4 linked regions of the Astyanax mexicanus genome follow. The protein of the gene in region 3 interacts with the protein of the main gene of each other region in a pairwise test. Links are inferred from orthologs where the notes say so. Each region holds a gene or a part of one and is shown on either strand. Other genes may lie near its edges. The genes, in order: atpaf2, pitx1, trim23 and arhgef3.

Region 1 (8,004 bases), on a different chromosome or scaffold from region 3:
ATTATTTATATTTATAAATGTATAGCTTATTGGTGCTTATTTTTTCATACCTGGTATTCTTCCTCCAGGCGAGACAGTAGAACTGCCTGCTCTACTGTTAGGTGTCTGTCAATCAACCCCAATGATAGAACCACAGACTTCAGCTGACTTATCACATACTCAAGCCCTGCAGAAATATTCAATCATTTAGTAATTTTTGGAATGACAAATGTGAGATTTACAGAACAGAGATTAATATATAAATAACTCCACTCCTGTTCATTTCTGAAAATGTACGTAAGCAAAAAAGTGTGATACTCTGCTTACAGTTAAACAATGCATGTATATATTTAAATCTAGATTACAAATATCAAATAGATATCTTTTTGCAGAAAAAAATAATACCCGTCACTATTCTGAGGAAAAAAAAAAAACAATGCTCATCCGTACCAATCAGAGACCAGACGTTATAAGATTTAAGATGCTGACGAAAAGTATCCTTTGTCTCCTCTGGGATCTGGGGGCCCATTATGCTGTAGGATGAACCGATGACAACATTGTACCTACAGACATAAATAATGATCAGCCACAGTTACAATGCAAAATGTAATGCAAAGATTATTATATCATTAAAAATAACTATCAGTTTTTTTCACATTTTACCTCTTTTCAATCCACTCCAGAACAGGGTCCCATTCATTTTTCTGAAGTTCTACAAGTCCTGGAGGTTCTTCTACTCTGTAACTAAAAGGAATGCAGGAAGGTCAGATAAAATCGTTCAAAATATTGTTTCCTAGAGATCCATTTCCATCTTCAAAGTTAATGCTTAACAATTAATACCAGCCCTTGCACATTTTATAACCCTCCAAATAAAAGTTTAGCATACCAAACTGTATCTGTCTCTAGAAACTTCAGTGCAGCAGAGATGATCTGGTCTTTGTCCCGCTGGGTCGGGTTATCGAGGGCTGTGTTGCACAGAGTGGTCTACAGAAAACATTAAACATCAACTGAAATAAACTACTTCACAAACAAAAGAGCACCAGAGTCGGACATTTTAAGCTTTAATTAAAGTAACTCACTAGATGCATGGTGTAGAACTTGAGCGTGTCCTTCTGAGCATCCCACTCTGTCGCAACAGCGATAGCAAGGGCTTCATTTGGCACAGTGAAGAGTTTCCCTCCTGGAGTCTTCAGCTTTCTCCTGTCTAGATTGATTTCATAAAGGCCTCCTGCAGATCACAAGGAAGAAAACATTCATCATTTACATCATATTCATATCATTTTAATGAATTTTGTTTAATTACACGATGAGTTACTAAATATAATCAAATTAACTAGTGGTGTTTGGCAGGGACAAACTAAATTTATGTTGTGTCAGCACATTAATACTGAATTCCATATTTAATCAACTTGATGTGATCAATTGATTCCAAGATCCTCAGTTCAAACAACTGTACATATTACATGCTGTAAAACATCACAGGCCTGTCATGGAAGCTCCTAAAACACCAGTTTTATTATCATACAGACATTTTTATATCACAATGGATTAAAAAGCTTTTGTTAAAGATATGCTCAAAATCAGAAATCATCTAAAGTTTGCAGTTGATCAGAAAAAGCCTCCTGGAGAGAAGTTTTAGGGTCAGATGAGACAAAAAATCTGAAGGAGTAGAGCAACCTCAAAGGTCAGTGTAATGTTTATCAGTTCAATTTTCTTACCAGTTGAGGTTATATGAAAAAAATGAATGTAAAAAAAATCATTACTTAATATTTAGTGTAGTATAGTTTTATTATTTTTCACCTCTGCCCCTCACGATTGGAATTTCAGAAAAGAAAAAAAAACACTTTTTAAATCAACTTTGGCATCTTGTAACAAATGTAAGCTTCATATTTGAGACACAAAAGTGGAAAAATAAGAAAATCGAGAGAAGTTTCCCTTTTTTAATTATTTTTTTTATTCTGATTGCAAAATGCTAAAATGAAAAACTAGAAAACTTGAATGAAACCCCAATTCCTTTTCACTATACCAAATAGAAAACTGACATAATTAAGTTTTACAGCCAATTTTCTATTTTCGAAAATTTAGCTTGAAACGTTTAGAAAATGAAACTGCTAAGCGTAACACTACTGTTAAGCATAGTGGTGGTAGCACGATGAAATCTGGTAGATTGCTGCCTAAAACATACCCTTAAACTCTCAGTAAGACTGATAAAGCTGTGATACAACTGTGTGTTCCAACAGGACACTGACCACACACACACACACACATCACAGTTGGTTATGGAATAAATATATATATTAAAAATATAAATATATATTACATATGTCAAAATCAAGCAAGCTGAGCAACACCCAGCCCAGATATTAGATCAATGCAAGGCCTGCGTGACTGACTGCTGTTCAGCTGTAATACAGTACAATACTGTGGAGTGATGCTTACCTTCACCTTGAGAGATCGTGACGTCCCGATAAAACTTCTTACGCTCTGCGAAAATACATTATTAGACGCTTTTAGGCATTTAAAATGCAGCTAAAACACTGTGACAAGAGAACACTATAATAAAACAGAGATCAGTATAATAATAATAATACAGTGCAGAGCAGAGCCCATAGATATCTTATGTATATGATGTCTATAAGCAGAAATTCGCTCACCTGTCGCAGGAGTGGCGTATCTCGCTCTCTGCACGTTTGCTGAACATCCCAATAACTTTAACTCCACCTGCCGACCAGCAAGAGGCACAAGAGCCCGGCTGACCAGCCCGTGAAACCGACATAAACCCGGTAACATCGCGAATCTCAACGTGTGGAAACGAGTCGCTGCTGTGTAAACGTTCTGAAGACGTTAGCAAGTTAGCTTAGCTTAAGTCGCTCATGAATGAATCATCCATTTAGACACTATAGCGCAGAAAATCTGATTAAAATGAAAACAAAACGATCCCACAGTATAAAGTCTATTCAGCCAGCAAATACAACTTCTCCCACGCTGACCTTCCTCTCACGTTGACTTTCGTGAAAAGCTTTATTTTCAAAATAAAAGTCCCAAAGCGTAGTCTCTGCTCTGATGAAACTCTTGTAGAAAAAAAAATACCAGCAGGGGACGCCAAAACACCGCTCATTTTTATGGTACGCGTCCGCTCAAATACTACCCGCACTTTTTACTGACTTTTCTGAGACGTTTTTGAATTCAAATAAAGCAACAGATGTAGTCAACCACAATTCTAAGATTTTAAAATATATATTTATTAATATTTTATAGAAGAAGAAGAATTAGACAGGGAATTTCCCCCAACAATACAACATAATCGTGCCCACCCTTACAACTCTACTCGAACATATATTGGGGAAAAGGTAAATAAATAAATAAATAAATAAATAAAATAATCATAAGATATTAAAGATTTTAGCTATAAAACAGATCTTAACAGAGTCTGCAAAAAAAAAAACTGTATAAACATTGGCTTGGCGTTTGAGTCCTAGGCTTACAGTCTATTAGCATGCTATCATGCTAACAGTGTGTTTTGGCTCTAAGTCAGTAATTTTTCTTAGAATTTTTTTTTAGAAAAGTGCTGTCTTCGCTTTCGTTTCATACACACGCAAATAGAAAGCTAAACAGAAACCTGACTGAGTGGGTGCTTTACACTGCTACTGACTCGTTCAGTTTATTAGTGATTCATCGGCTCTACACCCAGTACCTATTCTGTGCCTGTTTTGTGGGAAGAGCTCATTATCGCTGGTCTATGCACAAGAATTCCATCAGAAGCACACAATTCCATGCATCACTTCACTGTGTGCATGCTTTTTTGAAAAAAAAAAAAAATTGCCTTGAATACAAAAAGTCAAGCAGCATCAAACAGTGCCTTTGGGATGTGCAGCATTTCAGCAAGCAGGAGCTAAAGAAAATTCCCTAGCTCCTGTCATAACAAAGTGATTTAATTATCACATACTGATGGAGAAGGAAGTAATGCGATAAGTGGAAGCAGTTACATAACAAAATGAACCAATCACGCAGCCCCAGGAGCAGATAACTCCCATACCTGGAGTGGAACATGCTAGTGTCAACCTGAAGCGAACCCCAGTCCAAGATCAGTGCTCTGGACCAAGGCTGGGTTCAAAAACAGCTTTTATTCTTCTCTGAACATACCAAACCAAACTCACTGAAGCAAGCACTCCCATGTCCAGAAAAAAAGGTGAGAGTGAATAAACCTCAAGAAAGCTATCACTTTAAATGATTCACTCATTTTGCAACAGTAGCCACAAATAAGGATGCATGTCTGCCACAAGATTTACCACACTTCATTCTTTAGGTTTTTGGAAACCAGTCATTCAAGTCAGTAGATACTTCAGTGGAAAACCTATAAAAATAATCTCTTCAGAGGAAACGCTAGTTCTTATAAATATGGATAGATTTTCCTATAAGTTTCATCATCTGGTCTCATGACATAATTTTTCAGCTTGTCAGCTGTTTCCTGTTCCATTAAAAGACAACTTTCCAAACATACGTACATATGCTCACACTCCCCTCCAGACGTCCTGCAGACTAGTATAAAACAAAGTGATCTTCTATGCTCACACAAAATATTAGGTCCAAGGAATTTGTGCAAATCGGCAAAATATTTTGTTTGTTAAACTGTTTAATATATCTGTGTTATAACTGATCTACAAACAACAATGTGTTCCCATACTAGGTGACTCACATTATCGTCCATTGTTCTTAATGCAGAACTGATACATATACTGTATATTTATTTACTGGAGCCCTGCTGAGTTTACAGCCTACTGACGTGTCTAAATACGTCTCTTGGGATGGTTACCACATCTTGTTGAAATTGTCTAGGTTCTTCTAAAAGTACAACTTTGTTGAAAAATAAAACCAAAACTAAAAATCAGACAGAATCAATTTTAAAAGAAAGGAGAAGACAGCTTTATTTAGCAGGTAGTTTCAATCTTACAAAGCAGATCAGAACCGGAAGTCTTCTGATTTAAAGAGTTAAAAACATTAGGTTTTATGCATAAAAAAAATGGTTGACCATTCTCAGTGGGCTGGGACACAGGTGGGCTTCAGGCTCCACTTACTTAACCCCTTCGGTTTCGTCATTATGTCAAGTCAGGATCTGTTTATTAAAAGCAAGCTTGAGCGTCCTCAGAAGACCTCACCTGCCTCGTTCGCTCTTATCTATCTTGCTAACGAGCTATTGGCCAGCATACAAGGAAAAATTGTTAACTTCTGAAGCGAGACCTCGGAGGCTGGTGCCTCCCTATTATTGGCCTGATGATCTGTTAATTAAAAAGACTCTTGAGTGTCCTCAAGAGACCAGGGCCGGTTGACCTCTTACACACACACAGGCCCGTTTGAGCAGTCACTTGCTCGTTACAGTTATATTGCATTAACATATAGTGTACATAGCTATAAGGAAACTAATTTTAATTACCGCACTACCTAAATTTTTCAGTGTACAACTCAGATAAGGCCATGCTTAAACCCCTCATGGTTGCATCTCGTGCCCTGATGGGGCCCATCACTGACATCCATATGTGGGGCCCATATGAGGGGCCCAACTGTCTCAGTGCTAGTACTGTCTTCAAGGGAATAAGTTTCATCCTTTGTATTCCTGCAGCCATCTGTTGCTTAGATAAAATCACGAGAGTCGTGCTGCAGTCGAGTCACGGTCGCGTCATCTCAATCATTCAGTGTGGTTAGGATTGAAAGTTTTAGTCAGTCATGCTCGCGTCTGGTGGTTTAATATTTTTAATATTATCGTAAGTCTGGAGACTTGGCTCATGCAAATAGTGACTTTAACAATGTCAACAACCAATAGGAGAGCTACGGGAAACTGCAAAGGAAGAATATTCTTTGTGACTATTTAGAAACAATTTGAATAAGAACACATTTTACAATTAATATGCCTTATATGGTTTTTACTTTAATATATAGTGTATTTTAAACACAGGCAGCACTTTAAAGTCATTATGTTTAAAGTTATTTTATTTTGCACAGTTATTTTTGTGCAGTGTTATTTGTGATACAAACAAGTTCAATAAATACACATTTTTCAAGAATGATGTTCTTTATTGCATTAATTCTATCTTAAACAAAGCCAAATGTATAGCCGTGAAACTGTGATCCTTTGCTATACAAGTTTGTCGAAAAAAATGGGGAAAATAAACTTATCGGCAGTTGTTAAACACAAAATTTATTATAGTAAAAAAATATCCAGAACTAATAAAAATTAACTGTTGATGGGGGCAAACGTTGAAAGTCTCTAATAAATCACAGGATTGATATACACATTATTTGTAATTTAATTTCTAATATGTATTGTATGTAAACTCCACCAGAAGCATGATGGGAAATAATCTTAGAAAGAATCTAGTTGCAGTCTTGCAATTAGTGATCCCCAGTAATCCCCCTGCAAAATCTTAGCCTGTGACGAGTCTGTGACTAAACAGTCTGTGACTTCTCTTTAGATGTGAGGGGGTGTCAGACTTTAGTCTGTTAAAAGTCTTTTCAGAGAGTTAAGTAATGTATGGATAGCATAAGTGTGCTGAGCTGTCTAATGACATTGAAAAGAAGTCCACAGTCCACAAGACAAAACTACACAGATTTGAATTTAAATGTATGAGAGATTTTATTGAGTATTATATCTTTGTTTAATCACTATAAAAATAAAACATTGTAACCAATTTTGTGATTATTCCAGTGCTACTCTCATTATGTATTATATATTACACTGTGCAGTTTTTAATGAAGAGACAGCAGTGTTATGGCACTTTCTTGTACTGAAATCTTATAATTGAAGTATGTATGTAGTTTTTTTTATAGTATAAATTTATCTCCATTTATATATGTTCACACAAACAGAGAAATTACTAATTTTTAAATAATTGTGTCTGTAATCACACATACTTGTAATAATTCTGCTTGTTTAGCCTACAGTTATGCCCACCCATTCACACTAAAGTTATAAGGAGTGTTTCAGCCAGCACAACTTTTTAAAGTGACCAATATGTGTATTTATTTCCTTTACCAACTCATAAAACGATCAACATGTGTAATCAGACACTAATGAAACATGCTAAGTTTAAGTTCTGGCACCCTTTTAACACCAGTTTTTCAGCCAGTATGCTTTTCTTTGAATTGTCCATCACAGAGCAGAAATCTGTTTGTATTTTAGTTTCTGATTTAGTAGATATTTTTCCTTTAACTGCTATAAAATACTCAGTATTGACTTCTGCATTTACTGCTCTCTGAAATCCTTCTCTTCCTTTAATGGCTGTGTTGCTCAATCCACACATTTCAGAATCTGCCAATTAAATAAACTGGTTGCTCAACAGAATCAATATGACCATAATTTGTTGATGACTTGCCAGTGAACAAACACAGTTAAAGACATCATAAACATGGTAACTGACTCCATATTGACTTCATTAACAGGAAACTGCCAAGTTGTACTTTTTTGTAAGGCGGTGATCTGTTAGAAATGGCTAACGGTACATTCATAGGTCAAAGTTTAGTACAGCCACATCACACAAGCATATCAGTAATCCATGTGTATAAATGAGGAGAAAGTGTGATAGTGCACCAGTACAGTGATTTTGCCATCGTTTTTTTATTATGCTGATCTAATGTGTTCTTCCTAGAAATGAAACACACCAACATATTTTTTTAAAATCTACAATTAGCCTGCTGAAAATTCCAGTTTAAGACTAAGACCCCATCCGCATGAATCCATATATTAAAAACACATTTTGTATACATTTTGTCCTGGCATCTACACAAAAACTGCATTTTAGGTAATAAAAAAGTGAGATTTTAGAAATCGCATTTAGTGTGTGTTGCGTTTAGTTGTGGTCAGGCTTGTTCATGCTGGTTATTCAGTTTTATCCTATTGGTCAAACACAATCAGCTTAATAATGTTTTTTTCTGCAGGGTGTCCTTAATAATAGTGTGAAAACCCAGCCAATAATTTGATTGTTTTATTGTAGCGTTATTCTGTCCAGTGTTATAGTTTCATTTAACATCCTA
Region 2 (7,500 bases), on a different chromosome or scaffold from region 3:
CTGCATGCATTTTACATTTAGGGGCACTTTCCAAGGATTAGGCATAGTCGTAGACTGCATTTTCCTTTTAAAGGAAATCTCTATTCAAAATGCTGTTTCGTCCTAGAATAGACTAAATGCCTGTCTGGAAAACCGCTCAATTAAGTGCATGATAGATTTGATAAAATCAATTCGTTTTTAATAATTTAACTTAAACGTTAAACTTGATTTATATATAGGTTTAGTTCCCGTACTACCACAGACTTTTAGGCCTTAGTCAACAGGCTTTAGCTTAACGCCGTGTTTGGGCTGGTGTTTTATAACCGCACTGAATTATAAACCGGAGCGGCAACACTGCACTGAAAGAGAGACACTACATAACTAGAGTGTGTGTGTGTCTGTGTGTGAGAGAGAGAGAGAGAGAGAGAGAGAGAGAGAGAGAGAGAGAAAGAGAGAGAGAGAGAGAGAGAGAGAGAGAGAGAGAAAGAGAGATAGAGAGAGAGAGTGTGTCTGAACTACAGCTCTTTTACCGCAAAACACCACCATTTAGTCTGGACTGCTGACCGGTAGGACCAGAAGCAGTCCTTTCAACCGTGTGGAATAGTTGTATTTTATTGTGTACATTCTAATATTTGATAACGGCAGTATGATAGACCGTGCTCTCAACCATAACCTAATCCAAAACCCCAACTCCAGCTCCCCCCCAGAACCTTCATCATGAGCCTCACCTTCACCCTGCCGTGTCTGAGTGCTGTTTGAGTGTGTATAGATCAGCTGAAGGGCTCTTTAAATAAAACCAGTGATGTATCACTGTATTTAATAGAGTCAAACACAATTTAATCCTTCCTGACAATTTTATTATTATTGTTATTATTATTATTATTATTATTATTATTATTATTATTATTATTATTATTATTATTATTTAGTATATTTGAAACTTTTCTTATGGGATATTTCTTACTATATACTTTTTCACGATTTTACGTTTGAAAATCTAAGATTTAAACACACCTTCAGGCCTTTATTATTATTATTATTATTATTATTATTATTATTATTATTATTATTATTATTATTATTATTATTATTATTTTGTCATTTGAATCGAACACTTGGATAACCACTGTTCAATTAAACAAATGACTATGTTACATATAGAATTAATGTATAGTTAGTATTAGAAAGATGAAATAAGAACTAAGCATACGGAAGTTCCTCTACAGGATTGTAGAGTTATTATAAGTAATTCTAAGGCACAAATAACCATTTGTAGATCCTTTATTTTCAAGAGTATAATTAGTTTAGCGTTTCATTTTTAATAAAAAATCTCCGAGAGTTTGAGAACTGTCCGAGTTTTTTAGATTTTTGATTCAGTACCAACTTTAGCTACGCTCGCTTCAGCACCACTTTATATCGATTTACACTTTCCACAGTGTTTTCACCTTTGTAGCAGTGATGTGTGCTGTTTTTAGGTAAGTTTTTAGCTTTTAAAAATGCTTCTCTGTGTTTAGGTTATGTTTACTTTGGTGGTATTGGTTTACTGTGGCACACACTCTTACAAACAAAAAGGTGCTACACAGGGTTCTTTCATAAATAAAGAACATTTAATTTAAAAAAAGACGTGTCCAATGAAAAAGAGATAAAAAATATATATATTTGCATCCACTTTTTAAAAAATGTAAACACTTCTGTATGTCATACTCTTCGCCAGAAAGCTACGATGGCGTTAAAAAAGAATCCCCAGTACCTAAGCCCTTTTAATCTGCTGTTTTTATTCTTTGCTTATTATTTGAACTTTTATATTCAACTCATTTTAGTCTAGAAACGCGCGCACATGCAGCTTCACTACTTGTGGCCTGCTGCTCATTCTCAAAGCAAGCTCTCTGACAAAACGAGATAAATGAATAAAGGCTTTTACCAGTACTGTCACACACACTCCTGAACACACACCTCTCTACACTCACTTTGAACTACCATCAATGCTGCACCACCGAAGCCTCGCGGATCTATTTTTGCACACTTCTTTCTCACGCGCGATTTTGTTAGTGGTATTTAAATTGCTATTTAAATTAAATTCCTAACATAATTCAAATAAAGCTGATAAAATTGTTCTGTCAACGATACTATATATGTTTATATGTATTTAATGAAATATTGAAATATTGAAGTTTTTTTTATTTAAATATAGTTTGAATTATACAATAAACTTTTTTGCATGTTTTTTTCTTGTGCTTGATTTTGTTATTGCTGTTTGAATTGGTTTCCTTTGTTATTGCTGTTTGAAAAAGATGTTACAAAAGATTTTTCAGCGATACCATAGAAGAACACCATTTGGGGTGTAATATTTTGTGTGCATATTTGCAAGAAAATTAAAAGCATCGAAAACAAAAAACCTGCTCAAGGAATCTTCACGTTTATCTGTATCTGCAGAGCCGCGTTCTTTTATGAGGCTAATAAAGCTCCAGTATGTGGCTCGCTATAAAACACACAAACACTCATGAACACCCATGCACGCCCTTGCCAGAATGTGTACAAATATCTCCTTATGTAATTCTGTTGTTTTCATTTGATGCAAATCAGTCGGTTTTGCAATTAATTTTAGCATGAATTATTATCGAGCTCGCGCAATTTTAGGACAGCGCAGGGAACAGCAACAGCAGGTAAAATCGGTTCTGAAAAAAGACAAGCTATTCCACAGCGAGGGTGCCAAAACATAATCACACACACAGACACCGAACACATCGCGCTGTACAGACTGGAGTTCGTGCCCTGCTCTGGTTAAGGCTCGTGAAACGCGGAAAAAAGCAGAAGTCACTCACCGCGCGATCCTTCCGCCGGTTAGACTGTCCCCATGCAGCTCGCGCTTCCGCACGCGCTAAGAGCTCCGGAAAGTGCAGAAGTGTATGTATAAGGTGCGTGTGTGTGATGCTGTGAAAAGCCGGTGTGTTATGTGTGTATAGATGTGTAAATCTCCCGCAGCGCACGCGTTCTGTTCGCTTTGGTTGCTGCGCGCGCCTCTCTGGGCTTTTCTCTAAGCGGCTACTCCAGCGTGCACGTGACGTCACTCCTGCGTCTGAGCGGAAAGGAAAGCTGTCCCGAGCAACCAGTGCGGAGAGATAGTTAGGGTCTAGGGGTTGGTGTTTAGGGTGTATGTCTTAGGGTTTAGGTACTAGAGTTTAGGTTTGTGGCTGAGGGAAACTTTAAGGGTCTGTTTCCCAGACAGGAATTAAGCTCAAGTCGTAGGTTATATTTTTATTTTATAGAAATCTAAATTAAAATGCTGTATAGCCCAAGAGTAGACTTAAGAAGATCTGATTAATATCTGGGTTGAGACTGACGTTTAAGTGATGATGGCATCACTATTGGTTTTGGATGTGGTGGTAGCATGTTGGTGGTTTAAGTGTTGAAAGTTGAGTGCATTGGCTTTTTATAAAATTGTTTATTCTGTTGGTTTTAGTATTGAAGCTATATACATGGTGTTAGTTTTGGCTTTGGTGTTGAAGCTGATGCTGGTTTGGTGCTAAAATTTGTGCTTATGGTTAACATTTGAATAATACGTTGATAATATTATGGTTAATGGTAGCGTATTGTATTGGCTATTTATGTTACTATAAATGATATTGCTCTGGTATTTTATAGATGGTGTTAGTGTTGGATTTGATGTTAGTTTTAATGTTAAATGTGTTTTTTAGATGCTGGTGTTAATTTTGATAAAGCTATTGTTGATGTTAGGGTTTGCTTTGGTGGTCTGTTGGTGTTGGTTTGATTTTATAGGTGGAGCTAGTGCAGATTTTGGTTTTGCAAGTTAATGTTAATTGATGGCGCTAGTGTTGATGTTAATGTTAGGGTTGGCGTTTATGTGGGATTCTAGATGAACTAAGCCTATAGCTGGTGGTGCTGAGGGGGGGTGATGTAGACATTTCGCTCCGTTTTGAGTAGGCTGTATTCAAACTGATAAAACTGGAGTGCCTCAGAACAGAGGGACTGTAAAGTAGAAATTCTTTCCTAGTCCGTTTAAATACATGTTAATACAATTTCATTTAAAATTGTTTAGTTACGGTTCAGTTCTTATTAATACATATTAATCAAGCATTTTTATATTTCATTTATTTATATTTAATACTGTTGTAGAGCTAAATTCGCAGCCGCGCGCGCTGTTCTAAAACACGAAGCTGAATTTTAAACCAATATCAATCTTATAACACACACCATAATAAAGACAGATTCATCTTAAATAATAAACATACTGAGCACATTTATTCCCAACGGAACAGCTATTATTATTATTATTATTATTATTATTATTATTATTATTATTATTATTATTATTATTATTATTATTATTGTTATTATTATTATTGGTTAGTGGTGGGGGGGTGGTCATGGTCGGATAGGGCTGTATGTTATGAGCACAGTGTTTGATACTGATCTTAAATCCAATCAGCCCCTTTAAGAAGCTCGCGCTTAATAGCGGGATTAAGAAGAAGCCAATAAACAGCAACCCCCTCCTACCCTTCCTTAAATCTACAGACATTCCTATTACACCTCCCTAACTATACAGATAACTTTACATTATCCCGCAGGGCACTTTCCTATTATTTTAATCATTATTATTTTCTGTTTGAAATAGTTGATATTATTGTATGAATTCAATTTGTTTTATGTACTAATGTGATGTATTTAGAGTTTCTTGTTTCTTATTTATGATGGGGATACTAGTGTATTATTATTATTATTATTATTATTATTATTATTATTATTATTATTATTATTATTATTATTATTATTATTATTATTGCTTTATATGATTGAACTTTAAATGCAGGGTTTACTGTTAAATTATACTCTTGAAAATAAATAGGATCTACAAATGTTTTTTGTGCCGTATAATAACTGTTTACTGTTAAATATTTACACTGTGTAGTTAAATATTGTTTAAACCTTTAGTTACTTTATAAAGTGTTACATATAGATTTATATTTTATCACTATTTTAATTTATAAATATGAAAAGTATTTTATTAATGTTACCTGTTTTAGTTTGAAGTCTACCCTGTTATGGCAGTTTTTAGTGACAGTTGCCGTGATCGTCTGATCGGTTAATTTTCCAGCATTATTATAAACCACAGCGCGGCTACGGACATGAGCGGCTGAAGGGTTCCGATCAATCTGCAGTCAAACTTAAATTTAAACACCCTCATGTGTATATTCTAAACGCGCTGTGACCCACTTCTTCTGCTACACGAACAGCGCAGAACCACAGATACACACACAGGGTTCTGTAAGTCAGATACAGTAGGGTTTGTTTGGAGCTGGGCTGGGAGTTCGGGTTTGGACTGGTATTGGAGTTCAGTTCAGGACTGGAGTTGGTACTGTGTTAGAGGGTTTGTGATTGGGGTTAGATGTTAGAGATGGGAACATATTTACAGGTGAGATGGGGTATGGTTTTTGAGCTGTGAAAAATTGGGATTAGGAGTGGAATTAGGTTTGGGGTTGGATTTGAATTGGGGAAGATTAAAACCTGCATGTAATAGAATGGAAAAATAAAAAATTAGAGCTGGGGTAAGGGTGGGTATGGCAAATGGAATTAAGGTGTGGACTAATACTGGGATTAAAGTTAGCATTAAGGATGAGATTGGGATTGTAGTTAGCAGATTGCAGCTAGGCCTAAATTAGTATGAGGAAAGGCATAGGGTAGGAATTAGAGCTGGATAAATTTATGATTAGGATTGGAGCTGGAGTTGGGATTTGGGAATGGGATTAGGACTGGGTTGGATTTGGCATTAGTGCTGGGACCAAAGATGGGATTGGGTATAGGACTATGTTTGTGGCTGGAGTTGGGGTTACAACTAGAATCAGGGTTGAAGTTGGAAATTGAGTTGAAGTTTGTGTTAAAGTTGGCAATTTTGGGATTAAAGCTGTGATCAAGATTGGGGTTGTAGTTGAACCCTTTAGTCACTGCTCAGTACTTTTGCGGACAGCAACTTGGTTTCAACTGCGAGTTCCTCATCCAGCAAATAAATCCATTATTTATTATGGCCCTGATAGTGGCAAAACTGTAGGATGATGGATGTCTAGTGATTTGTTTTTTTTTTGGGAGAAAGAAAAAGTGATAAACGTTTCAAATATATAAGATCTATCTGGCCAAGCATCTCCTTAGGGTGCCTTGTGTTTCACTATGGACTGGAGCATGACTTCATAAGTTGTATCAAGCCTGTGTTGTATCATTTTATTTTTTTTATTTATATATTTGCATAATTATACACTGGGTTTAAAAGGTGAATCAATAACTGTGGAATTTGTGTTATAGACTGTAACACAACCATGACTGACTTATTTTGGCCAGCTATAATTAACCACTTAGAGTTAGACTAATGTTGACTAATGCCTCAGGAGATAAGTGTAGAGGTAACAGGGTCATCATTAACATCGGGGCGGATCCTCCCCAGCCCGCCGTTTATGGTCAACACCCGACAGTCAAACACCACACACACTTTACTGGAGTCAGAATGAATATGTGTGTGTGGGACGACGTATGTCAAACAGAATGTGTTTTTTTGTAAGAACAGATAATGGTGAGAAGTCATCTACACGGCTTCTGCTATGTTAAAAGTACAAAATCTGACTTTTTAAATATTAATATAGCAACATTTTTATTTAAAATGTAGTGGAGTGAAGCTGTCCTAAGAACGGAATGAAGCCTCTCCCACTGTGTGTGTCTCTATGTTCTCTGGAAACCTAGCCCCTCCCCAAGAGACCAGACAGTGACCGCCCACATACAGCACTGTGTATGCAAGATGGCAGAGTGTACGATGAAACATGAACATTGAAACATTACTGCACTAATAAAGGCCTCCAACCTTTTGTGCATCAAGTTATCTAACATTATCTTGATATATGAAAGCATGAAAGTTTGGAGCAGGTTAGTTGCAATGCTAACAGAGTTGGACTGTGATGCTAACAGACACAACAGCTTGGAAGGGTTCTAGCTGGGATGCTAGACACAGCATCCCAGCACAGCAGCAAGAGTTTGGTGACGTTAGATTTTTTTTAATGGAACCAATAGTGTTTTTTCTATGCCACTATTTAAAGAACCATCTGTACCACCTTTATATTTAAGAGTGTAGCTCCTCACTAACAGTCCCACAGTTTACACTGAATAGAGGGAGAACAGTGTGCAGAACCAGGCTCTCAGGGTGAATTAGGGCTGTTTGGGGGTCAAAGGTTACACAAGCACCTTTCCTCTGGGCTCTGTTAGAATCTCAAAATCCTCTCTGGCTCCAGGTGTGTTCTCATGTTACTCTCTTTTTCCCTCTTTCTTTCCTTCTTTTTATTTTAGGCCAGTTGTATAGAGCGATGCACTAAATCATGATTCCATTGTCCCTGAAGACACTGCATGATGTACTGCACAAACTCTGCTACTCTGTAAAAATTCATACTGAACCAATTCTTGTTCTAGCTGGACAAACCAAGAAACAGAGTGAGGTGAGTGTGTGTCACTGTCAGGTTAGCCAGCATC
Region 3 (7,824 bases):
ATAATATTGTAATGCACAAAAAAGGTTTGTAAACACATTTCATGTAACAATGTGTCCTGCAAATCATCAGGACATGTGTTTCTTTTTATTCATAATAATTATTGCGGCGAGGGATTGTGTACACCATTTGGACAAAATATTGGGAAACCTGCTCACTCACGGTAAATCAGGAGATTTATTAAGAAGGTTCATCTGTTTTTGTCCCTATAAGCCATTGAGGATTTTCTAGAGTTTTAAGCATTTTTGTGAGAATAAAATGCCTGCTGTATTAGAAGGAAAACATGGTGACACTCCTGTTCCTTACTAGTGTTGCATAATGTGCCCCTTATAATCCGGTCCACCTTAGGTATGAAAATAGACCAGAAAACAGACGTTTATTGATAGTGCACCTTATAGTCCGGGGGCCTTATAGTGCGAAAAATACGGTAATCAAAATTATAGACAGAAAAAATAAACATTTTAGTGTTCAAATGTTCAAATTTAAAAAGAAGTTGTACATTTCACTTTTGAGCAATAAACCAATCATCTTCACTTTAATATAATGTCTAAAACAATAAACGGTAAAACCTTTTACCCAAAATTCTGTGGTAGTGTCAGCATCTCCCCGAGCATCAAAGTCTCCGCCCCTTTAATAGTAGATGGATCTTCCCTCATGAGTCGACTGAACAGATCACCTGAAGACAAATGGAGGTTAAGTTAAATATGATCTGGAGTCACAGCAATACACTCACAACAGAGTCCAAATCTTTATCTGATTTATGATTCAGAACTGTGACCTAAGAAGGCCAGAACCTGAGCCTGATTTATAGCAGTGGAAAAGATACAGCTCTTACATTCAGAGAATTTCATGTCTGATCAGCGGCCAACCCTGCGGAGCTGTGCCCAGCGAGTGGCAGGCTGACATAGTTAAACTGTATAGTATGGCAGAGTCATCTGATACCAAGTCAAAGGCAAGGCCTGGACAAATTACGACTTTTACAGGTTACAGTATACGTTTAGCAGAAGTCTGCAATGACTAAATTAAAGAAAACAGGAGAAGGCAGAGAATGAGACAAGGCTGGCATCTACACCACTCCATTCACTTTATCTTTCTGCTCTCAGGTTCTCCTCATTCATCTTGATTAATAGTGGAATATGCTCCACTCTCATTTTGCCCCCTCATATAAATATAGGGCCTACGAAGAAGTGTCGTGATGACATATGGCTCTGGAGCGGTGCCGTTAATGGCTGAATATTGTGTTTCGGAGGTGCTGGACTGTGGCAAGAGGGAAAACAAACATTATAAATTCTTGTTGGGTCTGCAGGTTATATTCTGGGCTACAGTCATGCCACAGATTTCATTCCAATTTCGCTAACAGGCAATAAAAGTAGTTAAGAGTGGGTGTCAAATATAAAAAGATAAATATGTCAGACCTCCTAACTGTTATGAAATCACTTAATGAAATCTTAATTTGTGGAGATAGTGGCTCCTTCTGCTTGTCTTCATTGTCTTCATTATTTTGTTTCATTAATAATATTAATCTCACCTGAGTGTATATTATATATATTATATTACACAATATTGACCTGCTTTTGTTGGAGTAATTGTCTCTACTGTTAAGGGAAGGCCAGAATTGCTCCACAGCTTAATGCTAGGTGCCAATAAGATCATTTTTATCTGCTTCAGAGAGTCCTATTCTATTGGTAATCCTTCACAACACAGACTAGACAAGCTGTGTTTGTGCATTTGCACATTTGTGTCACTAATGGGTGCAACTTTATTAATTTATTAATTAATTCAAGGGTTAGCTAATCTGCCTCAGTTGTGCCTATATTAGCATTAAAGTCCCTGGCTCTTTAATGCAAGGGATTTTAAGAGAACACTTTAATTCTAATGGAAAAGTGTGAGGACAATAAAATAGTTTAAATGAACCAAACAATAGAGTTATTGTTGTTTCTTTTGTTTACCTGGAAGGTCTCTGTCTTCACACGTCACAGGCATATTAGTGAACAGTGTCGGTTTTGTCAGTCGCATCACTAGTAAAAAGAAAAATGCACATATTAATAGTAATAATGAGCACCTATGTACTGATGTTGACTTTGTAAGGTATATTCATATAGGAGCACTGTAGCTCTATTATAACAGACTGTAGTAAATATGTTTCTCTGCATACTTTAATTACTATCCTTCTTTTACCCTGTACTGTCAGGACCCCACACTGCAGTTACACTGATATATGGTGGTGATACAAATGGATCAGACACAGCAGCAGTGCTGCTGTAGTTTGTAAACTACAATATGTGGGCAGTGTCCTCTAAGAACTGACAAAGGACTAGAAGATAATCAACAGAGCTTCTGTCTCTGACTTAACTTTATCTACAAGGTGGAGAATCTTGACACTGTAGGAGTGTCTAATACAATGGAGGACAGTGAGTGTTCAAAACACTGTGTTTAAAAACTCCAGTGTTTGATCCACTCATACATCAGCCCTATACGAGCTGTTCTGTGGTGGTCCTGTGGGTTCCTTACTAGTAAACAACAGGGTGAACGAATGGAGGTGAACAAAGTGGACCGATTTGGCCAGTAGAGCTGATACAATGGACAGAACGTGTAAACATATGGGTTTAATGTAATGGCCATTTACAGTACATATTTGTATTAATTGTTTTAAGTAAATATAAGTAAAAATGATAAGTAAAATTAAAACATAAATAAAAACAGGTCATTTGCTTCTTAAAGTGCCTAAATGAAACTATTCTCAATGAAAAGCACATTTAAAAGTATCGATATACAACACATCCCTCTTAAAAAGCTTTTCTCTATTGTTTCCTTAAAAACACAGTAAACGCCACCTTATTCAGACTTTAATACTCATGAATATGCTTCATATTATTGTACTATACAGTATTACTATACAGTATCTACAGTTGTGTTTAAAAACTTCCCTGCTGACATCACAATTAGGCGTTAGCTTCTTGTACAAATTCTCCAATCCACCTTAAATAGTCCAGAGGTTACACACTGGTGCATGCAAGACCCTGCTCTGACCCGAATACAAATACTGCAGATTTAAGGTGGACCGGGCAGTTAGAAAACCAGGCCGGACTCTCAGCGCTTTCCACACTAAAGCTGTGGTTCTGAGCAGACCGGTGCTGCGAATTTTAAAGCAGCAGCTGGAGATGAGCCTTAAGATGCAGTCGGTGAGATAATGGAGCAGACAGAGAGCGGAATCTGTACCTTTTAGAGCCAAAAGATGCTCCTGTTTTGCCTGATTCACATCCATTTTGTTTGATAGTAAACCGGACTGACGTTTCCCCTGCATCAGCTGACGACGGAGCGCAGATAGGGACAAAACGCGTTTTACATTAAAGCAGCACAGGATGTTTTTATCTAGCGATAATTTCAGAAAGACATTGCTACAATTTCTTATGTAATATCATATTTGAGTAGTATTGTAAAGTGTATACCGTGGAGAAAATTGTGGTCTTTAACTTTAGAATATTTACTTTCCAAAAACGTGAGAGAAATTGAACTGAAATTAATACATAAAAATACCCCCCTGAATCTTTGATATTGAAAGTTTGATATTGAAATTAACATGCTCTTTTTTGTAAGAGGGCTTCGTTTTGGCAATGTATATACAGCAGAAAGTTTTGTTCTGAACTATTACAAATTCTGAGGATTTTTATTTTCTTTTACTTGTATTTACCTCTGAGAAATCCATTAGTGATAAGTTTTTTTATGATCAAACATTATTCCTTGTTTTTTAAGTTTGGTGAGTATATAAATATATTACTAAACATGGGGACTAAACCCCTTAACATTTGTTGATCTTTGTTGCCTCTGGACATACATTTTACATATGCTTATGTTAAAAGTTTGTATTGACATAATGAAGAGAAACATGCAAAATAATGTCTATAAAATATATATTATCTAAAAAAATATATCGAAAAAAGTTAAAGAATATATAAAAGAGACGACCTATTTACAAATGTGCACATATCACTATTAGACAAATAGAAATAATGTATCATAATACCACGAGAATACTAAATAAACGTGCATATATTTGTCATAAGGTCACCCAAAACAATGTGAAACACTGGTGAAGAGCATGACAAGACACATGAAAGCCATAATTAATAATTCGTGTTATTCCACCAAATATTGATTTCTGAACTCTTCTTGAGTTGAAACATCAGTATTGTTGTTTCTAAATAAATATGAACTTGTTCTATTTCTGAAACACTGCATCCTTTTCATTACGTTTATCTTTATTTTATTTTGACTTTCATTTTCTGCAAATAAATGCTCTTAATAACCATATTTTTATTTGGAATTTGGGAGAAACGTTGTCGGCAGTTTATAGATTAAAACAACAATTCATTCATTTTACTCAATATATACCTATAAATAGTAAAATCAGAAAAGTGACCAGTCCCAGCATCCTAGCTTCACATATGTTCCATGAAAGAGCATTAACTTATATAAATTGTTTTTTTTTTTAAACAAAACACTATTAATAGTGCATATACTGTGTATAAATCATCAGAATTACAAAAAAGTGTAATTTTTAAGCCGCAGCTACAATAAAACCTATGGAAACAGCTGAAACCTTACTGTGGATTCGTCCATTGCTTAAATAGGGGTTTAAACGCCGGCTGTAGCACCGGTTTTATAGACAATTTCAAACCTTACAACATTGTTTGCGCAATTATTTTACCATGTAAAATATTAATATACTATTTAACACGTTGTAAGCATATTTTATTGAGTTTATTGTTTCTGCTGTTATTTGCTCGTCCTCTGACTCGACCACCCCGGTTTTGTCATGGATGGTCGCGTCCGAGGATGGCCGCCGCTGTAAATAAGCAAGGAGCCGCAGCACCGATGGAGCCTTGTGTCCGGCACGTAAGGGCCACAACAGGCAATACGGTGAAGGTACAGAAGTTTATGTTAGATTTAAACTAAAGTGCAGTGATTTAGGGAGAGTGTTTTTGTGTATTTTTGTATTTTTTTTGTTTCTGCATTCGTGGTTGCAAAAAAATGGATAATTCAGGGCCAGAAAACCATAATCCACCCCAGGATTTTGCTCCAACTGTATGGGCTACTCTTCTGAACGCGGCTGCAGCAGTGCCAACGAGGCGGTTGGATTGAAATCCTGGCCTGGATTTTTGCTAACAAGTGGAATGGATTCCCCAATGTCTAGCAGATACCTAGATTAGCTAAGCTAAACCCAGTAAAATATCACAACACTACGTTTTATCCCCTGAAATTCTGTGAAACAGTGCAATATATAGCTGCACAAATGTAATTTACGCGTAATTAACAGGGTACAGTCTCTGAAAAATTGGTAGTTATTGCAAAATGCCAGCTAATATCAAGCTAGCTAGCTTTCTGAGCTAACACTACCTATCTGTGTAGGTTAACTAGAAGCCGCAAACAAACAATTGGTGCCCTCAAAAAGGATGTTAATTAGTTAACTAGGTTAGCTTGTTAAAATGTGTTCCAGCATAAATAATAATATGTGGTAATATTTCGGTGCTATTCATTTTTACATGACCTTTTATATAATGACTTGGGTATAATGACTTATCTATTGTTTTTTACAGCAACTATGTGTCCTAAAACGATTTAAATAGAGTATATTGAAAAATAATATTAAGTACCACTTAAAATTATAAATTTAATTTTACCTAATTGAAAACCTCTGGAATATAATAAAGAGGAAGATGTATGATCACAAGCCATCAAACCAAGCTAAACTGCTTGACTTTTTGCACCAGTAGTGGCAAAAAGTTATCCAAAAGCAGTGTGTAAGACTGGTGGAGGAGAACATGCCAAGATGCATGAAAACTGTGATTAAACCATGGTTATTCCACCAAATATTGATTTTTGAACTTTTAAACTTGATGAATATGAACTCGTTTTCTTTGCATTCTTTGAGGTTCTCATTTTCTGCCAATAAATGCTCTAAATGACAATATTTTATTTGGAAGAATTTGGGAGAAATGTTGTCCATAATTTATAGAATAAACAACAATGTTCATTTCACTTAACATATACCCATAAACAGCAAAAACAAAGAAACTGATTTAGAAACTGAAGTGGTCTCTTTTTTTTCCAGAGCTGTAGTTGGTTATTTAGGTAAACAGTATGTAAAGTGGTATCAAACTCTTCTTTTAACCTCTTCTGAGGGAAGGGGTGAAATTTATTTAAATTTAAATTTGTGGTGAAATGACTAGAAAAGGTGACATTATGTAAAAATAATAATAATAACTTAAAGCCTAAGAACAAGATCATAATAATCATTTTCACTTCAGCTATTAATGGCTGTGTGTGTTATCCCATGAAAACATATAGTAAAATATGTACATAAATGTAGTTTGACTTGTGAATACTTGCTGCTCCTCAGGTTTTGGAGTGTGGAGTCTGTGAAGACGTATTTTCACTGCAAGGAGACAAGGTGCCTCGGCTACTGCTGTGCGGTCACACTGTTTGCCATGACTGCCTGACCCGCCTGCCTCTCCATGGCAGGGCTGTGCGGTGTCCATTTGACAGGCAGGCCACTGAGCTGGGTGAGTTTAAACTGCTGTTATGCATTTTTAGATATGATTTGCTTTGTTTGACCGTTGGTAGCATTGACTGATTGATTTCAGACTGATATCAGCATTTAATGCAGGATAAAATATTAATAGAGTGGTTGATTATCATTGCCAATGTTTAGATGCTCATTAAGTTAACCATTTCAGGTAAAATTGGTTAATTTTAAAGCTTAGTAGGATAACTATACTAGGGCAATAAGATAAATAGTATTTTTAATGCAAAACAAAACCTGTTTCCTTTTTTTCGCGTTCAGGGGACTCGGGTGTCTGGGGCCTGAAGAAGAACTTTGCACTGCTAGAACTTCTTGAACGGCTTCAGAACGGTGCCTCAAACCAGTCAGGGATGTCGGAGGACGCACTGCGAGAGATGGGAGAGGTTGGGATCATATGTTTCTATACATATACATATAGTTCATTTTAAAAAATGTAGTTAAATTTAATTTAAAAGTTACTTCATTTCAGTAATTCAGTTCAAAATGTGAAACTCAAATACATAACTAAATTATATAGAAGTTTTACACACAAACTGATCTATTTTAAGTGTTTCTTTATTTTATTGTTGATGATTATGGTTTACAGCCAATGAAAACCCAAAAATCAGTGTCTTAGTATGTTTACATTAACATACTTCCATCTTGTTGCCCTGCAGTGCATCATACGCTGTGATGAGGACGAAAGCCACACTGCCTCAATGTACTGCACGGTGTGCGCCACCCATTTATGCGCCGAGTGCTCCCAGCTCACACACTCCACCCGCACACTGGCCAAGCACCGCCGCGTTCCTCTGGCAGATAAGCCTCACGAGAAGACCCTGTGCCCTCAGCACCAGGTGCACGCCATCGAGTTTGTCTGCTTGGAGGACGGCTGCCAGCCAGGCCCGCTTATGTGCTGCGTCTGCAAGGAGTATGGCAAGCATCAAGGACATAAGGTACTGAGGCCAGTATGATAATTGCACAGTTTGCCCTTGAAACTCTGGCAGATGTCTGTGATGAACAGCCTGTGAGAAATTTACACCGATCAGCCGTAACAGGGAAGGTAAAGGGAATAACGCTGTTGATCTGGTTCCAGTGGCAGCGGTCAAGTGGTGGGATCTACAAATTAGTAAGCGAGTGTCAGGAACAGTCAGTTCCTGATGTTGATGTTTTGGAAACCAGGATAGTAATCTTAGCCAATATGAGCAGAACCATTTTAGTTCCAAAAGAGCTCCAAAGACGTATAACTGCTGAACTTGAGATG
Region 4 (7,696 bases), on a different chromosome or scaffold from region 3:
GAAATAGCAGCAATATGAAATCCAGTAAAAGTGGAAAAGTGCATTAGTGCAAGTTTTCTAGATAACATAAATACATATACAGAAACAGGAAGTAAACAGGAAGTAGGAAAATAGCAGCAATATGAAATCCAGTAAAAGTGCAAAAGTGCATAAGTGCTAGTTTTCTGTAGCAGCATGGATGAGTATGAATGAAAAGCAGCAATATGATAAAGCTAATTAATTTTACAATTAATTTAAATTTAAGTTTAACAATATACTCCTGCAACAAAGTGAGTATAATTAATTAAGTTTTACTTAGTATAAATACAGTATTTAATAAAACCAGACCCTGATTTTGCACAAAATGATGATGTTGTAGGAAAATTGTGAAAAAAAAGTGAAAAATATGCAAAACGATATTTAGTGCATGCTTAAAAATGAAAAAACAATAATTAAAAATAAAAATACACTAACAAAAACTACTCAGCCACAAAAACTGCTATGTTCTGGCTTAATGATGTTTGGCTTAAATCTTCATTCTCTACAGCAGAACATTTGTACAGACATGCGACTCTATGCCGCTATGTTGTTGCACAGGCCGGGTCACAGCACCTGCTGATAAAGCAACAGGTGAACAACCGGCCCCCATAGCCGTCCCCGATCCCTCATCTGTCCTCAAAGCTTAGAGGCTCATATCTACAGACACCAATCTGCTGTTTGAACCGGAGCAGAGCATCGAGACATCTGCTGTCATATCTAAATATAAGGGAGGGTCATTTTATTTCATGTATCTGTGGTTACAGCTGCTGCGCTGAACCGTCGCAGATGCAGCCTAATCATAGAGAGCAGCCCGAAGGAGCTTAAAGAGCTTCAGCAGCCTGAAACCAAAACACACTGAGGAACCAGAGGAAGCAGAGACATGCCTGCAACAAAACCTGCTATCAGCACAGCTTCGAAAGATGATGGTGGAACTGAAACATCACAAGTCTTTTCTTCGCTGAGCCCCTGAGCTGAGCTCTCATCAGTACAGCAGTTCACACACAGCAGCATTCCTCACCGAGATGCTATGTTTGCCTCATAAAGGCCATGACTTAAAGCCCAAACATCTGACCTGAACATAACAGCAGCACAGTGCAGGCGTAAAAACAGCATAACAGTTCCTTAATGTAGAGAACACACTCTCTTCTCAGACAAGAGAAAAGCTGATGATTTAGATTGTGTCCATTATTTTATCGAACATTTATAAATATTTGCACGATCCGATATATTGTCCCAGAAGAAGATCATTTTTACGTCACTAAAAAAATAATTACGATTTATGATATACCGTCTCTCACGGGTGCCAAACACAGAACAGACAAGCGGGAACACCAAACATACAATTAATTAAATAAGGGGTCAGGCTTATAAGAATAGTCAGGGACAGGCATAGTCAATAACTAAATGGCAGCATAAACATACCAGACATACCAGAGTGATCAGGCAATGAGGTCATACACAGGATAATCAAAACAGGGCAAAAAATGACAAAAATACAAAAATAGGTCAATACTGAAAACTACCGAAAAAAAGGAAAAAGAGTAGCTTAAATAACAAAAAAAATGTGAGGTAGAACAGCTATGAAATAGATTCAACATCAGGTGAGGATAGAGTGAAAACTGAAAACAGGGGCTATTTATACTACGAGTACAGTGAGTGTGAGTAATCTCAGAAGCACGGCGAGCCAGAACACCGATATGTCACGTGATCTGGCACATCCGGAGGGATGAGCACTGGTCCATCTTGGGAAATGGAGTTTTTCGTTTTTTTTGAGAGAGCGAGAGCTAGAGTCAGTGGCAGGCAGACTGAGAGTGACAGGACTGAAACTATACCAGAAACAATCCTCAGATGGACCAACATGTGATCCAGCTTGTTAACACCCAAATATCAAGTGGTTCTTTTAGTGTAACACGATCCAAAGAACCTACTTTGTGGTATCAGCAGATACAGAAACCAGCTCAGTTGTTAAAATGATACCTGCTGTGTACTTGGGGGCATCTCAAAAATACATTTGACTATCATTGAAAGGTTAGTTTATTTCAGTAATACAGTTAAAAAAAGTGAAACTCATATATTATACAGATGTATTAAACACAGAGTGATCTATTTTAAGTGTTTAATTATTTTATTGTTGATGATTATTTATGGCTTACAGCCAATGAAAACCCAAGAAATCAGTGTCTCAGAAAATTAGAATATTATATAAGACCAATTGGTACTTTTGGCAGTGTGGGCAGTGTGCCAAGTCCTGCTGGAAAATGAAATCCACATCTCTATAAAAACACTGGAAAAACACTGCACTGACTTTGGACTCCAAACCATCACTGATTGGTGGAAACTTCACACTAGACCTCGAGCAGTTTGGACTGTGTGTCTCTCCACTCTTCCTCCAGACTCTGATCCCTTGATTTACTTTAAATGAAATGTAAAATTTACTGATGGTCAGTGATGGATTTCATTTTCCAGCAGGACTTGGCACACTGATTTTTGGGTTTTTATTGGCTGCAATCCATAATCATCAACAATAAAATAAAAAAACGCTTAAAATAGATCACTCTGTGTTTAATACATCTATATAATGCGTTTCACATTTTGAACTGAATTACTGAAATAAAGTAACTTTCCAATGCTATTCTATTTTTTCTATAGTTTTTTTAGATGCACTAGTATATAAATAAATATATATAAATAAATAAATGGTGTATATCTTACCCGGGCACTTCATTACTTCCGACAGCAGTTTGCATGGAACCAGAACTGTCGACCTTCCAGCTCAAACAGAGAAAAACACCCTTAAAAACAGGATTTCCAGTTCAGCTCTTCATTAAAGAGGAAAGTTCAGGGCTGGGAGTCAGTCCACCGGTTTCACAGCGCGAGCAGCAGCGGTAAATTATTAATTTTATTATTATAATCCCCGGTTTGTTTTACTGAAGTTTTATTATTCCTTTCTTTAGTGTTTCTTTAGTTCAGTGTCAGACTCCTCCACTGCTCCATTCACACAGCCTACATTGAGGGCGGGGACAAAGCCAGAGGCCACGCCCCTCACATGCGCTAACAGAACCGTTCAGCCACGCCTCGCTGATGCAGTAAGCCCCGCCCATGCCTAAAAAAATATAGCAGCTCCGTAAGCCACGCCCTTTGTAGTCTGTTTAATATTATACTGTAATATGTAAAATAAGAAAATATATTCTTAAAAAGCGCATAAAATTTACCCTTACTTTTGTATAAAATTATAATTTTATACAAATTATAATTACATAGTAAATAATTATATAGTAAATAATTAAGTAATTACATACATAAATAAATAAATAAATAAATGAATGAATGAATGAATTTATTAGGTTAAATGTCTATATTTATATAGAATTATAAAATAAGCCGAACGTCTATTACATAGAATATATATATATATATATATATATATATATATATATATATATATATATATATATATATATATATACTACATATATTCTATACTATATACAACACAATAATGTAGATTAAGTTAGTTACATCTGTAAGAGGGCCTTTTTTTTTGCTTTTTTAGCTTTTTTTCACTCAACTTTAATCATAAAAAACAAAGTTATATTCTTAAGTAAATAATTACATACATAAATAAATGAATTAATTAATTAATCAAGTCCAATATCTAAATTAGGAATTAGGAATAGGAAAATAACTGTAATCTGTATACTTAGTAGTTTATATACACATTGTTTTGTATATCCAGTTCTAGTCAATAGTTTAAAGACACCTTTACGCTCAATGTTTTTTTTTTTTTTTTAGTTCTCAATGTAATTTATTTTCTACATTGTAGATTAATATTAAAGAAATAAAAACAATTAAGGGACACATGTGGAACTATTGTTCAGCACCTCACTATAATATAGTAAGAGATATAAGGTGTGTCCAAATATATATATATATATATATATATATATATATATATATATATATATATATATATATATATATATATATATTTCAGATGTGTGCAGTAATGTATGCACAGTGTAGGTCAATGTGTATAAAAATGTATGTATATTATATTTACATAAGGTCTATAAGCCACGCCCTTGAATTTCCTATGTTTTCATGATGAGGTCATCACATAGCTGTTTTATAGACAATAAAATACTCACATGATTTTAACACAAACTATGTTACAGGAACCAATGCAAGTATGAGGAGTAAATATACACTGATCAGCCAAAACATTAAAACCATTAGATTCTATCTTTCCCAAGTTTAAGAACTGACCGTTCACTTGCTGCCCAATATGTAGATCAAACCCTTTGACGTGCCATTGTAAGCAGGTGGCTGCTTGATGATTACAACTTAACAAAAAAGATCTTAATGAAATTTAATGAACCTCTGCTGCCACCCAGTGGAAATGACTGCATATGTAATCTGTCAGTAAACTATGTGTTAAACAGGGTCCTAATGTAGGTCAATTCTTCAGTGTTCCTCAACTGGAAGTGTAATCTTACTTATTAAACTATAATTAATGTATTAAAGCAGACCAAGCATTGAACAATGTCCTATCCAGTGCTGTAAGATTTTGTGGGAAAGCAAAACAGCACTGACTTTGTACTTGATAATAAAACACAGTGGATCAACACCAGCAGATGACAGACATGTCTCTCCAAACCATCACTGATCATCAGTACATTTTACATTTCATTTCAAAATCAAGTTTTCAGCACTGTTTACCTCTGCTGACAACTTTTATAGAGATGCGGATTTCATTTTCCAGCAGGACTTGCCAAAAGTATCAATTGGTCTATATATATATTTTATATATTATATATATAAATATATATAATATTAAAAATTCTAAAACATTTTCTGATTTTTGAGTTTTCACTGGCTGTAAGCCATAATCATCAACAAGGAAATAAACACCCGAATAGATCACTCTGTGTTTAATACATCCATATAATATATGAGTTTCACATTTTTAACTGAATTACTGAAATAAAGTAGCTTTTCAATGAGAATTTTTTTTAATGCACTGGTACCCTAACCTTAATCTAAATAATACAAAGGAAGTCAATGTATAATGGTTTCATACTGGTAATGTAAATTAAATCTTATAATAAAAATAATAAAAATCGAACATTCTTCCAATACACAGTACTATTTAGGCCCAAAAAATGACAAACAAAAACATAAGCAGTTGGTCATAAACATTTTAGTTTATTATCACATAGTTCCTACATTAGAGTACTATAAAACAGTACAAAGTTCATATGTAATGTAGAAATCTCTAATATTAAAAAACAAAACTGTACAAAAAACACAAAAACTAGAAAAAGTAGAATTTTAACATATTGACAAAACTGTCAATCAGTTTCCTGCTCTTCCCTTTGTTCATGTAATTCATGTGATTTACGTATTAATTGTAATTCATCGCTCATTCAATATTCAATCCACGAGATTAAACACATTCTTGAAGTGAGTCCTTAGTACAACGTTACTGTAAAAAAAGGAGGAAAAAGGGTATTTTGCATATTTTGCATATTTGTTGGCACTGACTGAAGAATACAACAAAAAAATAGGGCAGAAATAACATTAATGTCTGTAATGTGAACCATCCATGAAGAACCAAATGTGAAACCATCGTTGAGAAAAGTTAAAAACCAATAAATAAAACAGTAATATAATTTTTTTTAAAAGCTCAATGATTTCCATACTTCCATATTCAACATAATAAACCGTAAACCAGCGTACAGCACGATGTCATAGATTCCAACGAGCCACAGAGTCCGACCATTGGAGGAAGTGGTGAACAGCACTTGGTTAATGGATGGATTGGATAAAATGGTTGTTTTGTGCTATGCTAACTGTCGTAACGCTTTAGTGCTAACACTACGAGAAAGAAGGCCGTGCTTAAAAACAGCACAGACGCTTTGGTTAAATAGCTTCCCCTCGCTGCATCCTCTCTTCAGCAGTCGCTTTCTCACCAAAGTCTCACCAAAGTCTCACCAAAGTCTCACCAAAGTCTCATCAAAGTCTCATCAAAGTCTCATCAAAGTCTCAGTCAACCAGCGTCTCCCCTGAGGAGAACCTGGAGGTCTCGGATGTGGATGGATGTTTTTGTAGGATGTACTGCGAGGGGTTTGTTGGCGAATAGAAACGTAGAGCAGTAAAGTGGCGATGCAAGTCCAGATAAAGGCCACTAGTTTGACGCTGCTTCTATTAGTCCTTCCATCTGCTCAGCATTGTGGTGGTGGAGCTCGGCTTTGCAGATGGTGGGGGTGCAGTGTAGAGAGCTGACAGCAGGGGGCTCCTCATCACCTAAAAACACAACAAGAAGAAAAGAAAGAAGAAAAGAAAAAGAAAGACAAGAAATAAAAAAAAGTGTCAATTTTAAAAGTGTAAAGTTTCTGGCTTGGGTCATAAACTAAAACCTAATTCATGCACAAGACATGCACATTAAGACAGAAAGTTGTGCTAGAAAATGTATTAGAATTAGAATTAATTCTGCTTATAATGAAATTCAAAGATCCGCACAACTTAATGCCATATATAATTGAAGAAGACGCTAAAATTCAGCAATAAACCAAGGTCACTACTTAATATACACACAACAACCAAGCAAACAGTACGGCAAAAAGGCAGACACAGCTAATTAATAAAAGCAGTTATCCAAAAGCAGTGTGTAAGACTGGTGGAAGGGGTGGGCGATATGGGCCTAAAATGGGCCTAAAATAATATCACAATATTTCATTGTATTTCTGTGACAACGAAACTCGCTACTGCTACAAAGTAAAAAAACATACATTTTATTATGGCATGCGATATGATATGGCACACACCCCTAACTGAGACATAAACAAATATGAATAATAAGAATTGTATCAGATTTTTGTAACAGAAGTCATTGATCCAGAATGTCATGATACTAATAATAATAATGCACTCCTCCAAATATCTCCATATATCCAGGATTAAAGTAAAATAAATGATACTGGACAGATATAATCTATAGTCTCCAGTAGATATATAATAGGAAATGAAAACAGTGTGAATTTTTTATCTTTTAATAAAAAGAGTAAAAAGAGAAAAAAAGCACTCTGATGTGATCATTATGGTACCATATTTCAGGGTATAATATCATTCACGATATTCAACAACTTTGGCGATATTACTGCATATGATACGATATGGCACATCCCTAACTGGTGGAGGAGTACATGATGCCAAGATGCATAAAAACTCTATTTAAAAACCAGGGTTATTAAACCAAATATTGATTTCTGAACTCTTTATATATATATGTATATATGCCATCCCCTCCCCTCCCAACTCCCAAAGAGCACCACTTTCAATTATAAAGGACAAATCGGTACCACTTTAAAATAAGACTACCTTTATAAAGGGTTTATAAATGGTTTACAATTAGTTTATTAATGGTGACTAATTAGGTTGTAAATGCCTTAAAATCATTAATAATCAGTTATAACACATACGTAGAAAGGGCAACAATATAGATGGCTGTGGGTTCACTATTTGGCAAACAAGAGGTCATTGTTGCCTTTTCTACATATGTGTTATAACTGATTATTAATGATTTTTAAGGCATTTACAACCTAATTAGTAACCATTAATAAACTAATTGTAAACCATTTATAAACCCTTTATTAAGGTATTCTTATTTTAAAGTGGT

Evidence for each region.
Region 1: the proteins of trim23 (region 3) and atpaf2 interact in binary tests that used the Homo sapiens proteins (3 or more experiments, as listed by UniProt). The two-hybrid records come from large-scale screens. The link is inferred for Astyanax mexicanus from reciprocal best matches to the Homo sapiens genes TRIM23 and ATPAF2.
Region 2: the proteins of trim23 (region 3) and pitx1 interact in binary tests that used the Homo sapiens proteins (3 or more experiments, as listed by UniProt). The link is inferred for Astyanax mexicanus from reciprocal best matches to the Homo sapiens genes TRIM23 and PITX1.
Region 4: the proteins of trim23 (region 3) and arhgef3 interact in binary tests that used the Homo sapiens proteins (3 or more experiments, as listed by UniProt). The link is inferred for Astyanax mexicanus from reciprocal best matches to the Homo sapiens genes TRIM23 and ARHGEF3.

What each region holds. Positions count from the first base shown.
Region 1 is NC_064422.1:24,662,346-24,670,349, reverse strand, and holds the start of atpaf2 (ATP synthase mitochondrial F1 complex assembly factor 2), read right to left. Parts: upstream 3,007-8,004; 5' UTR 2,770-3,006; coding exon 2,634-2,769; intron 2,464-2,633; coding exon 2,419-2,463; intron 1,208-2,418; coding exon 1,059-1,207; intron 964-1,058; coding exon 866-963; intron 724-865; coding exon 643-723; intron 543-642; coding exon 430-542; intron 167-429; coding exon 51-166; intron 1-50. UniProt on the Homo sapiens protein: Plays a role in the assembly of the F1 component of the mitochondrial ATP synthase (ATPase).
Region 2 is NC_064424.1:34,450,961-34,458,460, reverse strand, and holds the start of pitx1 (pituitary homeobox 1), read right to left. Parts: upstream 3,012-7,500; 5' UTR 2,802-3,011; intron 1-2,801. UniProt on the Homo sapiens protein: Sequence-specific transcription factor that binds gene promoters and activates their transcription. May play a role in the development of anterior structures, and in particular, the brain and facies and in specifying the identity or structure of hindlimb.
Region 3 is NC_064427.1:22,848,510-22,856,333, reverse strand, and holds the start of trim23 (E3 ubiquitin-protein ligase TRIM23), read left to right. Parts: upstream 1-4,809; 5' UTR 4,810-4,834; coding exon 4,835-4,924; intron 4,925-6,398; coding exon 6,399-6,561; intron 6,562-6,842; coding exon 6,843-6,964; intron 6,965-7,237; coding exon 7,238-7,516; intron 7,517-7,824. Other genes in the region: trappc13 (trafficking protein particle complex subunit 13), read right to left, coding at 575-674, 1,948-2,016, 3,218-3,302.
Region 4 is NC_064431.1:3,304,066-3,311,761, forward strand, and holds the start of arhgef3 (rho guanine nucleotide exchange factor 3), read right to left. Parts: upstream 3,003-7,696; 5' UTR 2,766-3,002; coding exon 2,731-2,765; intron 1-2,730. Other genes in the region: il17rd (interleukin-17 receptor D), read right to left, coding at 6,206-6,324. UniProt on the Homo sapiens protein: Acts as a guanine nucleotide exchange factor (GEF) for RhoA and RhoB GTPases.